Linked DNA regions of Nothobranchius furzeri. The protein of the gene in region 1 interacts with the protein of each later gene in a pairwise test. Links are inferred from orthologs where the notes say so. Each region holds a gene or a part of one and is shown in the gene's direction. Other genes may lie near its edges.

Evidence for each region.
Region 2: the proteins of nckipsd (region 1) and psmd9 interact in binary tests that used the Homo sapiens proteins (3 or more experiments, as listed by UniProt). The two-hybrid records come from large-scale screens. The link is inferred for Nothobranchius furzeri from reciprocal best matches to the Homo sapiens genes NCKIPSD and PSMD9.
Region 3: the proteins of nckipsd (region 1) and stac interact in binary tests that used the Homo sapiens proteins (3 or more experiments, as listed by UniProt). The link is inferred for Nothobranchius furzeri from reciprocal best matches to the Homo sapiens genes NCKIPSD and STAC.

The regions. Positions count from the first base shown.
Region 1 is NC_091743.1:68,498,054-68,502,248, reverse strand, and holds the start of nckipsd (NCK-interacting protein with SH3 domain), read left to right. Parts: upstream 1-1,256; 5' UTR 1,257-1,482; coding exon 1,483-1,653; intron 1,654-2,148; coding exon 2,149-2,261; intron 2,262-2,350; coding exon 2,351-2,561; intron 2,562-2,844; coding exon 2,845-2,920; intron 2,921-3,127; coding exon 3,128-3,690; intron 3,691-4,195. Other genes in the region: ndufaf3 (NADH dehydrogenase [ubiquinone] 1 alpha subcomplex assembly factor 3), read right to left, coding at 727-815. UniProt on the Homo sapiens protein: Has an important role in stress fiber formation induced by active diaphanous protein homolog 1 (DRF1). Induces microspike formation, in vivo. In vitro, stimulates N-WASP-induced ARP2/3 complex activation in the absence of CDC42.
Region 2 is NC_091757.1:46,809,041-46,812,667, forward strand, and holds psmd9 (26S proteasome non-ATPase regulatory subunit 9), read left to right. Parts: upstream 1-1,410; 5' UTR 1,411-1,452; coding exon 1,453-1,581; intron 1,582-1,670; coding exon 1,671-1,770; intron 1,771-2,199; coding exon 2,200-2,387; intron 2,388-2,489; coding exon 2,490-2,591; intron 2,592-2,702; coding exon 2,703-2,791; intron 2,792-2,965; coding exon 2,966-2,993; 3' UTR 2,994-3,071; downstream 3,072-3,627. Other genes in the region: rab5 GDP/GTP exchange factor, read left to right, coding at 1-72. UniProt on the Homo sapiens protein: Acts as a chaperone during the assembly of the 26S proteasome, specifically of the base subcomplex of the PA700/19S regulatory complex (RC).
Region 3 is NC_091758.1:29,001,514-29,005,956, forward strand, and holds the start of stac (SH3 and cysteine-rich domain-containing protein), read left to right. Parts: upstream 1-1,502; 5' UTR 1,503-1,642; intron 1,643-1,760; 5' UTR 1,761-1,778; coding exon 1,779-1,892; intron 1,893-2,789; coding exon 2,790-2,822; intron 2,823-4,443. UniProt on the Homo sapiens protein: Promotes expression of the ion channel CACNA1H at the cell membrane, and thereby contributes to the regulation of channel activity.

The DNA.
Region 1 (4,195 bases):
ATAGTTCAGTTTTCACCAAATAAGGACACTTTCCCTAACTTGTACTGGAACATTTTAGTTATGTTGTGTCCATCTATCTTCTGCTTCTCATTTACATCTGCTTCAGACATACATTTCCTGTTATTTATTATGAACTTCATCACAAGTTCTGCTCAAGTCTGAACTGTAACTACGGCAACCTACTGGACTCTTGCTGTCTGGAGAGCAGTTTGCATCTATTCTGCAACACTTCTGCAAAGTATCACAAGTCACACTTCCTGTAAAGGAAATCTCATTAACATACACATGTGAGCTATAAAATAGTCATAAGACTTTTGAATAATACTTCCACATTATATATGAAGATTTAATGATTGAGCAACACACTTTAAACTGCGCAATTAGACTGAAAATGATTATACTAACTAAAACTGAAAATTACCCTAGATATAAGTAACCATTTTGAGGCTAACCTTAAGTAAATCTAAGGAAATTGAACCGACGAACATTCATAAAGCATCAATAAAGCGGGAAATTTAAACCTTCAGTGAAATAAAAACACTAAAACACTTTATTAAATACTATAAAATAATGCTATACAACTTTAATAAGGCTAATTATCAAAACAGACATCACCTTTATAACACTTTCAATTCAATATCACACCAACTTTTAACTCTGCAATTGACCTTATTTTCTTTTTTAACTAATAGGATTTCTATACTTTTGTTGAAAAAATTAAATTACCAAGAGAAAGCAGGAATTGTATTGGAAAAGGACAGAAATCCTCGAGTCGACCTCTGGAAAAGCATCCTGCTGCACACCGCAGTGGCCATGTTGACGAGTATAACAGGGGAACGGAATTCTCTGTGACACCATTAAGGCAGCTGCTTCCGGTGCTATGCACAGCACAATCGAACATTTCTTATCTCGCCAACAGTGTGTGTGTGTGTGTGTGTGTGTGTGTGTGTGTGTGTGTGTGTATTTAATACATATATAATTCAACTCTTTCTGAAACAAATAATGTAACATTGAAACATATTTACAAGGATTCAAAATGCTGAAATCCTTTCTGCAAATGTAAGATGGAAGAAAAACTATCTCTATCCCTGCGTGTGTACAACACCGTAACCTTACTTTAATCGTCAAGTAAAATGTTTTTACATTTTACATCATTTAATTGTAACTTCATAAATGTTTCCACTTCAAATGAAAATAAATGTATTACACATTTTTCACAATCAAATTAGATTTTAGCTCTGGGTTTGATTAAACTGTCTGATAGGCGTATTTAGGGTGTATCAGTGCCCCCTGTGGCCTGTTCTGGTAGCGCTCGCTCAGGTCAGATGATCCGAGCTACATTGTAAATAGACATGAGCCGCTCACCGTAGACTTCATGGGCTCTTTAAATCACCCCTGCGGAGCAGATCTTTTCATTCGGTTTTTGTTTCATAACAGGTTATTTCTGTGTCACTTTTCGGTTTGTTACAGATAAACTAAATCATGTATCGGTCTCTGTACGCCTTCCGATCCGTGGAGCCCAACTCACTGCACTTCGCGGCCGGAGAGAGCTTTCTAATCCTGGAGAGAAGCAACAAACACTGGTGGTTGGGGTCCCGCTGTAGCTCCGGGGAGACCGGCTACATCCCTGCTTCTTACATCGAAAAGATTCAGGTAAAACTCACTTTTAACCCCCGTTTTTGCCTATTTAGTGAATAGAGGCGAGGCGTGGAGTGGAACCCTGAGAGTGGTGCTGTCTGCAGCAGGGCAGGCCAAGAGCAAGCTGTCTAGTCAGGTGGAAATCGCATGCATTAATTTATTATAAAGGCTGCAGGTCGAAAAGCTGCTGAGAGGACACAGGGTGGGACAGCAACAGATAACAGAGACAAGAAAGCATTGTTTTCCTCTCCTCGTGGTCACACCCCTGGTTATATCGCAGGAACTAGTCAGAGCTTGTAGGCTGTGTCACAAGAAGAGAGCTCCCTCCTGTACTTGATAACACCGTCTGTGCAGCTTTAATTAAGCCTGAATGTAGGGTGTTGTTAGATCACAGTCCCATTTTTTCCCAGCTTGTCCCAGTTTGACCCAGTCACACACTTAATAATCCTGCATGCTGCCACAGTAATGAATGTTTCATCCCTTCAGCTTCTGTCGATGTGTTTGTGCCAGGCTCCACAGCAAGACGAGGTCCTGCAGTCCATCGATCGAGCCATAGAAGGGATCCACAATGTGGCCTTAAAGAACGGAGGCAAATACAACCTGGAGCAACGAGATGTCCTGCAGTGAGTCCAAGTCAACATCAGAAACATGGTGGGGATTCTGATGGAGGATTTATGAGTACTATTGTTTATGTTTTTAATCTGTGACACAGAAAGCTGATCCATCACAGGAAAGAGACGCTAGCTCGGCGAAGTTCCTCCTCCATCGGACACAAACCCAACATCCCATGTTCCAGCAGTGAAATCACCCTCAGCCAGACCCCCCCTCCGCCCAACGGCCTCAACAGGGACTATGGAAGACAGGGAGGCGTGCCGTTATCAGGGAGCATGGACAGCATGCAGGGAGAGCCCTGCTGTTACCAGGTGATATTAAAGATGGGCTCACAAGGTCTGCAGGGTTTGTGTGTGTAGAAACTAAATAGCTGTTGGGAACTTTAAAAAAATGAAACATTTCTTCTTTTTTAATCTTCAATCAAGCAAATAACTACATGCAAATAATTTCTCACACTGGTTAAAAAAAGTTGCTGACAGGAAACAGGTTTTATTAATAGTAACACAAAACAGGATTGACATATTATCACGTTTTAGAGAAATTTTAAACATTTTTCATTCCTGGTAATCATGTCCTGTTCTTCCCCTTTTGCAGGTGCCCCCCCAGCCTCGGCGTGCTGCTCCCATCACCCCCCCTCCTCCTGAGAAACAGAGAAACCAACGGCGTCCAGGTTAGTTTGGACTCCTTCGTCCCCGAACCCTCTGCAGTGTGATGATCTTGCAGCTCTTTTATTTCACAAACTTTCTATTCTTAGTCGGGTCACCCCGCCCTCTTGGCCCATTCACTTTCACCTCCTTGTAATCTGACCCCCCCCCCCCCCCCCCCCCCCACACACACACACACCATCACCCCTCCCTCTCTCTCTGTCTGTCTGCAGAGCCGGAGGTCCCCTCCAGAGTTTCCTCTCTGCCTGCGTCTCCTGCTCCCTCCCTGACCATCAGCAGCACCTCCACGGAGTCCGGCTCCTCCCGCTCTTTGGCTTCCTCTGATGTCAGTCTGCCGAGTGTTTCCAGCACTCCCCCTCCTCCTGTGCCATCCCGCATGAAGCCCTCTATGCCAACTGCAGACGTGCCTCCGTCTGAAAATCCTCCTGTGAGGAAAAGCCCAGCACCGCCACCCCCGCAGCACCCCGGGCCCACCAAACACACCAAACCCGACGCTCCCGTCCTGCTCATCGCGCAGCAGAACCCATCAGAGATTACCGAGTGGCCCCCTGCCCCTGCCTCTGTTTCAGAGAGCCCACCTGGGAGCCCCGCCGCATCGGAGCCGGTACCCATGAGCGTTGGAGCAGAGTTAATTGAGCTGGTTCGGAAGAACACGGGTCTGAGTTACGAGCTGTCTCGGGTCGCTGTTGGAGTGGTGGTGGGCCACCTGCAGACGGCTTTACCCCGATCCTCCTCCGACTTGGAGCGTGTTCTCCTGACTCTGGTGGAGAGCAAGGTCAGACTTGCTTTCGTTCAGCACTTCTGAGGGTTTAGAGTTACAGCTCTGTTGGCCTTCAGCTGACCTAATAAAAAAAAAAGTTTCTGTTTTAAATCTGCCAGGCATCAAACTTGAGCTGAAAGAGGAACTGAATGTTGCAGCTTCAAATCCCATCATTTATTTTTAGCAACATGTGCAAATGAAGACCTCTTTCACACTTCCACCACAAACACCTGTAAGCACCACAGCCGCACGGCCAAACGCAATCGCCCGCTGCCTCTTTCAGTTTAAAACTACGAACATCTGATGATGAGAAACGATGGTGTTGCAGCTGTTTGTGGTGAAATCTGGTAAACGTGTGTGTTCAGTCAGCGCTCAGATTATGTGTTTATAAAACCAACTGGATCCTCCTAGTGAGCTTCCTGTAGGAGGATGTAAAAAGTGTCCAAAAGTTAATTTAGACGTTACTTGCTCTTTAAAACAGGACAATATAGATCCCACACAAAGAGCAGAAGGATTTCTG
Region 2 (3,627 bases), on another chromosome or scaffold:
GAAGAATCCATTCTAGTGCCTTCCGATCAACATGTTGGTCCAAAGAATCAGAATGTGGCACCTAATCATTAACACACACATGGGCTGCAGGAAAAACAAGATTTGTTCTTTTGCACATGTTTCATCTGAAGAGAAGATTATATTTATAAGCAACATGAGGATGAAGGAAGCTTTTGGAAAGTCTCGTGAGGTGTTTTTATTAATTAAACTAATTTTCACTTTTCCCATTTTAGGATGAATTCTGTGAGATTATTCCAATTTAGTGACAAAGTCGATTAAATATAAGTACTCAGGGAAAATAGTATTTAGTGATATCACAGAACTCTTAGCAGTTTTTCATTAACAGTGCTTACACCTTAACTGCTGTAAAAACAAATGTGACAAAGCAGGTTTTGACCACTACAAGTTTGTGGCATGTTGATGAGAAACACATACATGATAGAGCTGTTGTCTTTCCCCTTTTTTCCTTTTGTGAAAGTTGTTTACAACTAGTAAAATACGTATGAAGATAATTAAAATGTAATATATTTTGTTCAATAATTGTACCTGATAATATATTAAAGCTGAAATGTGATTTGAAGTTTAGTTTGATTATTTTGTGTTTATCCTAGAATGTTTTGAACTGATGTGAAACATTTGATCAGTGGGAAAATTCATAACAAGAAGTGGTGAATATTTTAGAGTGTTAGCAATCCAAAAGAAAGTATATTTTAAAATAAAACAAAAAATATAGGTAAGTTGTATTATCCAAGTGTAGTTCCTTGTTCTTAATGTTTTCAAGAAGAAATTAAACAAAGCTTATTTTTGTTAGCTTCATAGAGATGGTTTTCCAGTTTCAGAACCAGGATACAATTCCTGCATATAGCCACTGGAGAGCGACATTTTCCTTCATATTATGTCTGACCATCGTGTTACACACTAAGTTTTAATTGTGTTTTTAGCTGAACGACAAGAGAATAAGACTGGAGCAAGTTATCCTGTTGACACTAAAGTGCCATACTGTTTTATTTTGAAATAATTTACCAGAAGTGCATCTACTAACTATTGTAATTTTATAAATGTAATTCCCTCTTCCAACTCTTCTCATCTCCTGCTCATTTTTCTTCTGTATTAATATGACTTAAATATTTCCAAAAGGACATAATTTTGATAAGGAGGCTAAAATGATCTCTTCTGAATTATTTAACAGAACCAGAAGGGCGACAATTTCCCTCCCTTAATTAAACATTAAAAGTGTGTACAGTTACGCAGCGCAATGTGTAGCAACGTGTAGTTTATACAAACGATGTAATACATAGTAATTGATGTTTTGAATAATTTCTTGTTTAGTACAACTTTCTTCTTACCTTGTACATTTTCTCCACAATTTGGCCAGGCGGCGGCGCTGCAGCGGAACCACAATTGCCAGAAGTGTTGTAGCCGGAAGAATTCAGCAGATACAACTCAGCAGCTATGAAAACAACAGAAGAAAACAACAGTTGTGGAAGCTCTGCTATAACCATGGACGACGTTAAAAACCTCATTAAGAAGAAAGATGAAATAGAAGAACAGATTAAAGCTTATTATGACGTTTTGGAAGACGTAAGTTAGCTTGTAGACGCCATCAGTGGGTAACTATTTATTCTGTGTGCTAATTATGTTTTTACCTTGTTTACGATGCTTGTTTACAGCAAGGTGTTGGAGTTGAAGGTCCCCTGGTTGACGCTGAGGGCTACCCTCGAGATGATGTTAACTTGTACCAGATCAGAAACGCGAGACACAACATTTCATGTAAGTAACTAAATGTTTTTTTAGTGTTTATCAACTCAGGGAGCGACTTTTGTAGCTGCTGTGGTGTCTCCTTTTTGTTCGGGTATTTATCAACCTTCATTTTTCATTCTGCAGACCTTGAATAAAATATAATCAACTTCGGTTCATTTTGTTTACTATTTATTAACATGATCTTTAATATAAGGTGCTTTTTATTTTGATGCTCGTCCATCATCAGGACCAGTGCCATATGTTCTAGTTTTTTTTCTAGATATGCACTCAGGGCTTATGTTTTAGTCACTCACTACTTTTAGTCCAGTATTCATATCAGTTCAAATTATTAATGAACTAACAATAGATTTCAGTATAATTTAATTATGAAATGCTTACATTTGTCTTAGCTGTATATGTGTATATTATTTTCTGTTTGTAAATAGTTGATGTTTTCAGGTCTGCAGAATGACCACAAAGCCATCATGGCAGAGATAGAGGAAGCCCTGCACAAGCTACATGCTCGAGAGAAAGCTAAGCGTGGTCAAGATGAGGTTGAGGAGGAAGCCATGGAGCAGCAGGTCACTCTCCCTCCTCCGTTTGCACGAGTGGATTCTGTGACCGAAGGCTCGCCTGCCTCTGGAGCTGTACAGTTTGTTTTTTTAAATATTTATTAAGGCATATTTTCTTAACAGTTTGAATTTGATAAATGTTTCTGTTCCTTTGATAGCAATTGTTTTCTTTCAAAGGGCCTCAGGCTGGGGGATGAAATCATCGAGTTTGGTTCTGTGAACACGGAGAATTTTCAGAACCTCCAAAACATTGCTGCTGTGGTGCAGCACAGCGAAGGAGTAAGTTTTTGTTACTTCTACTGATATTCCTCCGGTGGATATAATTCATATTTACCTTTACAGTGACTATCCGTCTCTCCTGATGCGTATTATTATGTGTTTCTTTTTCAGAAACCTCTTCGGGTCTCTGTGATCAGGTCTGGCCAAAAAGCTCAGATGAGCCTGACTCCACAGCGGTGGTCAGGCAGGGGCCTGCTGGGGTGAGTGCTTCAGAGACACAGCATATGAGGCAGATAATACAATAAAAACCCCAAACACTCATGGTACTTTTCATTTTTCTTCTGTGTTTAATGATAGAATTCTCTTTTGTACGCACAATAATTAGTGGTTTCATCATCATTTATATGGAAATCTTGTCTTTTTTTCCTTCACAGGTGTAACATCGTTCCAGTCCAGAGATAATCCACATCATCCTTTGCTGGATTGAAATCTTTCAATTCTTTGAATTTCATCCTGAATAAAAAAAAATCTGAGTGGCTATACACTGACATGTTTTTTTAGTATGAGTGGAAACTCTTAAGAACTGTCCAAAGAATGAGAGTGGTATAGATTATATAAACAAAGTGTTGCAGCACTTCTATTTACTTCTGTGGATGATTAACACACAGAATGTGACCTTTAATTAACAGTTCATCTGTTATGGCTAGCATTCAGCTCCGATAAAGGCATGATGTAGACACACTCCTAAGACCAAGCTGGGAGGATGCTGAGTGACCTAACATGAAGTCCATATTTATCTATCCTATGTGTTGGACTAATAAACAGCTCGAGATGTGAGAAAGTATTCCCCCCCCCCCCCCCCCCAATACCAAGTTTTACATTTTTGACAAATGTTTCAGGTCAGCAGATAACTTGATTAAATACAAAGTAATGTAGTTTTCAAAATGATTTAACTGATTAGTGGAAAAAAGTTATCCTGACCATCCTGGACCCGTGTGAAACAGTAACTGTCCACCTTGTTAAATCAACTATATTGTTAAAAAAGCTGAGACTGACTCCCCACACCTCAATTATACCAGGCTGATGGCATGGAGGC
Region 3 (4,443 bases), on another chromosome or scaffold:
CTTCACACACCTGCTGCCATTTTCCCTGATTGCTCCTCCCAGTGTATTTAAGCCCTGTCTGTCTCTGTGTTCTTGTCGGTCCATTAATGTTTGTTGATTCTGTCAGTTTAGTCCCTCTGTGTTTAACCAGAGTTTCTTGATCCCCAGATAGTAATCTGTTTTTTTTTTTTTTGACCTTTTGGATTTTTGGCTTTTTTGGATTTTGACTCCCAGTTTGGATTACCTTGGTTTTTGGCTCACCCACAAAATAAAGACTTTTTTCTTAAAATCTTCATCCCTGCCTCCGTGTCATCCTGGGTACTGCATTTTGGGTCCACACCACCGTATCGTGACAGTAGGTAGTTCTCCACATGATGTGGAGGAAGAGATGTTTTTTTTTTAGCAGCGGTTCAACCTGAGCATGCTTGAGAGTGGTGGGAAATGTACCGGATGTCAGTGAAGCATTGATCACATGTGTGACTGCTGCGGCTACTGTAGGAGCAATAGCTTGGAGCAGCTTAGTCGGAATGGGGTCAAGTGGGCATGTAGTAGGGCGGCTGCACATGAGAAGCTTGGACACACAGTTCTCAGTGAGAGGGGAAAAAGAGGAAAATGAAACAGTAGGGCCTGAGATGGTTGGACTACAAGGAGTTTGTGGTAGTGAATGTTCAGGAGTGACCAGTTGAGTAAACTGTTTGCTTATAGCTGCCACTTTGTCAGTGAAGAATGAGGCAAACGTGTCAGCAGATTGTTGGTAGGAGGTGGAGACGAAGGGTTGAGCAGAGTTTTGAATGTCGAAAATAGTTTCTGAGAGTCATAATAATACCAAATAATATCTCATATATTTAAATCATATGTACAGTATTATGTGTCACGTGACCTTTTCTTATAGCATGGTCTTTTGTTTATCCCAATTTTTATTTTATTTGCTTATCCCAATTTTACTGTGTAGTGTCTACGATTTTATAACAAATAAATAAATTAAATGAAAAATATCTTAGAAGCCTAGATCATGATTTAAATAAATAAAGTGAACAACGTTACGTTTCTAAATTCCCAAACTTTTATTTCTTTACCAGAAAATTCCCAATTATTTGTCTTTTTTAAATTTCTTTTAACATTATGATTGAAAACACCAGATTGCATCATTAAACTCCTCAAAATAGCTGGACCATATTGATTTTTCTTTTCTGGGCACGCTAGTCCTAAATCTTTCTCAGCAGGGGTGAAGAACCAATGAGAACATTTCATCCAACAATATTTTAATGAGTGAGTTAGCTCTGGAAACAGACCACGTGGACTAATCTGACAGTTGTGGGCGTCCTCTCTGAACGCTCGTCGTTTCTAATTTTTGACAAGACGGAGTGAATATGTCACGTCTCCCCCCTCCTTCCAGCCCTCTCCTCCCTTAAATCCACTTGAGGAGGCAGTTTGGCAGAGAGAGGCGCGCGGCGTGCTTTTGGAGACGTCTTTGGATGGTTTACGCATGACGCAACAAGAAAGCTGAAAACCTCCATTCACGCACACGGGACAGCTGGGATGCTGTTAATTCTTCTTTAATCGAATTCCACCTTTTTCCAGACGCTAGAAAATATTTAATTATTTATTTATTCATTTTTCTTTTTTGTGGTTGTTCTTTGCTGTCGGATTCTGTCTGGCGCAGGTGACTCCTCTTATCCCGGGTTACTGTGACTGAGGAGTGGAAACGTTGCTTTGACAGGAAACAAACTCAGCTGTGCGGGTGTGTGTGTGTGTGTGTGTGTGTGCGTTTTTTTTTAAAGAGATCACAGAAAGAGGGGATGATCCCGCCAGCTAACGCAGTTCAGGACGAGAGTCAGGACAAAGAGGACGAACGGGACCAGGATGAGACTCCCAAATCCCCGACGACGAGCGCGAGCCGGCAGGAAACCAAGGTCTGCCCTAGCATTATTATCATTATCATTAATATTTCTCATTCACCTGTCAGGTTTACTTTAGCATGGAACTCTCAGAAACTGGGAAAAACGTCAACCTCAAATTATAATCCCTTCTCTGGAGTTTAGAAATAGTATCAACAGCTTGAGGCTGATTAAATGTCATTACCAGACCAAAACAACACTTGTACTTAAAACAAGTCCAGCTTTAAATATAATATTAATCACTTCACCACTGCACACTTAATAAAGCTTTTGAACATAAATAAACTAACTTTTCATCGTGTAACATATCATAAAGCTGCTTTTCTTCTATTTGGATCAACAAGAATTTAACAAACTCTCTAACATAATTAAACACAAAATTTCTATTCCAATAAATACCTTTTGTGTACTTGTGGCTGGTGCATGTTGTAGAGACTTGTCTGAGGCATTATGTGGGTCACATGTTGGCCAGGGTCCTACAATTAGCAGGACATTATTGGAATGTGATCATCAGTGTATTCACTTTTCTTCTCCCCATCCATCCCTGTTAGTCAATTTGTTTTTTTTTTCTACAAAAATTAATTAGATTCATTTTAAGGCTCAGGTAAAAAAAAACACACACACACACATTGATTTTAAATGTTCCACCTGTGTGTGTGTGTGTGTGTATATATATATATATATATATATATATATATATATATATATATATATATATATATAGATGTATATATATAGATGTATATATATAGATATATATCTATATCTATATATATATATATATATATATATATATATAGATATAGATATATAGATATATATTTTTTCAACAGGGTAGAATACGTTCCTTGGTGGTGGTAGTTCTAGAACCAACAAGTAAAGCTGTGTTTTTGTTTTTATTCCTCCTTTAAGAATACTGTGAGACCTGAGCATCACAAGCGCAAGGTGAGCTTCCACTTTCATGTAAACTGTAGCTACTGATTTAAGCCCATTGCCTGCATGTACACTAATGCACATTAACAACTTTCACTGCTTTTAAGGAAAGTTCACTTTAAGACTCCATCATCATCCACCTTTTAGAGAGCTCCTTTCGCTCAATCTGCAGTTATTTGTTCAAACGATTTAATTTGACGTTTGTGCAAAAATTAGTTGCAGGAGTTTCTTCAGCAGTGCTGGCATTGATTAACCGTCCTTGCTTTATGACAGGTCTCATGAAAACATATGGGGTGCAATTTGTAAAGTCAAAAATTCACAATTTAAAAGCAATATTTTGTATTATTTAACCAGTGATAGGAGAATAAAATGGTAAATGGCTTGTGTTTGTATAGTACCTTCTAGTGATCTACAACACCCAAAGTGTTTCACAACACATCAAGTCATTCACCCATTCACACACTGGTGGTGATGGGCTACTACAAAGCAGCAGCTGCCCTGGATGCTGTGACAGCTGTCTCCGATCACCAGCAGGCAACATGGGTTCTTGCTCAAGGACACATCAACTGCGACAGCCTGATTGAGATTCTATCACACAGCCATATTTCTTAGCAAGCTAAATATTAATTTTGGAACTAAATATTTATTTTCCAAACTAAGTATTTATTTTGCAAACTAAATATTTAGTTCCAAGATAAATATTTAGCTGGGACTTGAATGTGAATTTTTAAAATAAAATTTCTAATTTGAAGCTAAATATATTGTTTGTAAACAAGATATGGATATATGTAGATCCAAACTAAACATTTAGTTAGTAGTTTGAATAATTAGTTTGAAAACAGATATTTAGGTTGGACATAAATATATAATTTCCAACCAAAATATTTAGCTCCAAAATAAATTTTTAGCTAAAACTTGAATATTTATTTTGAAAAGTAAATCTCTAATTTGAAGCTAAGCATATTGTTTGTAAACTAAATATTATCTCCAAAATTAATATTTAGATCCAAGCAAAAATATTTAGTTAGTAGTTTAATAATTTGTTTGAAAACAGATATTTAGGTTGGACATACATATTTAGTTTGGAACTTTAACATTTATAAACAACATGGTGAAAATATGACTTTGAAATCTGAACTCCCATTTTTTTTCTCTTAGAACAGGTTAAAAAAACTAAATATAGCAATAAAAGTCTTACTGACGTTACAAAAGGCACCCCATAGAAATAGGCAGAGCATGAGCTGCACGCACACATTTTCTCACTTTTCTTTATTTACATGACAGAAAGAAATCTTACTCTGTAGACTGTTGAACGTAAAAACGAGAAGTTGAAAAATTTATATCTGCACAGCCCATAAACAGAAAGGTTGGGTGAAATGTGGATATGTAATTAACAGCATGGACGTAATTTTCACTTTAGAAGTGGGGGGGACACGGGGGGGGGGGGGTATCTTTACAGGCTTTACAGGCTTCAACTAGTGTCAATTTAATATAGTGTAATATTGTTTTTGGATGGTAAAAAGTACAGGGGTCAAAACTTGACTTTGGAAAAAGTGGGGGGGTCATGTCCCCCCTATCCCCCCCCCAAAATTACGTCCATGATTAACAGATGGAATTTGTTTGCTTTTATTCA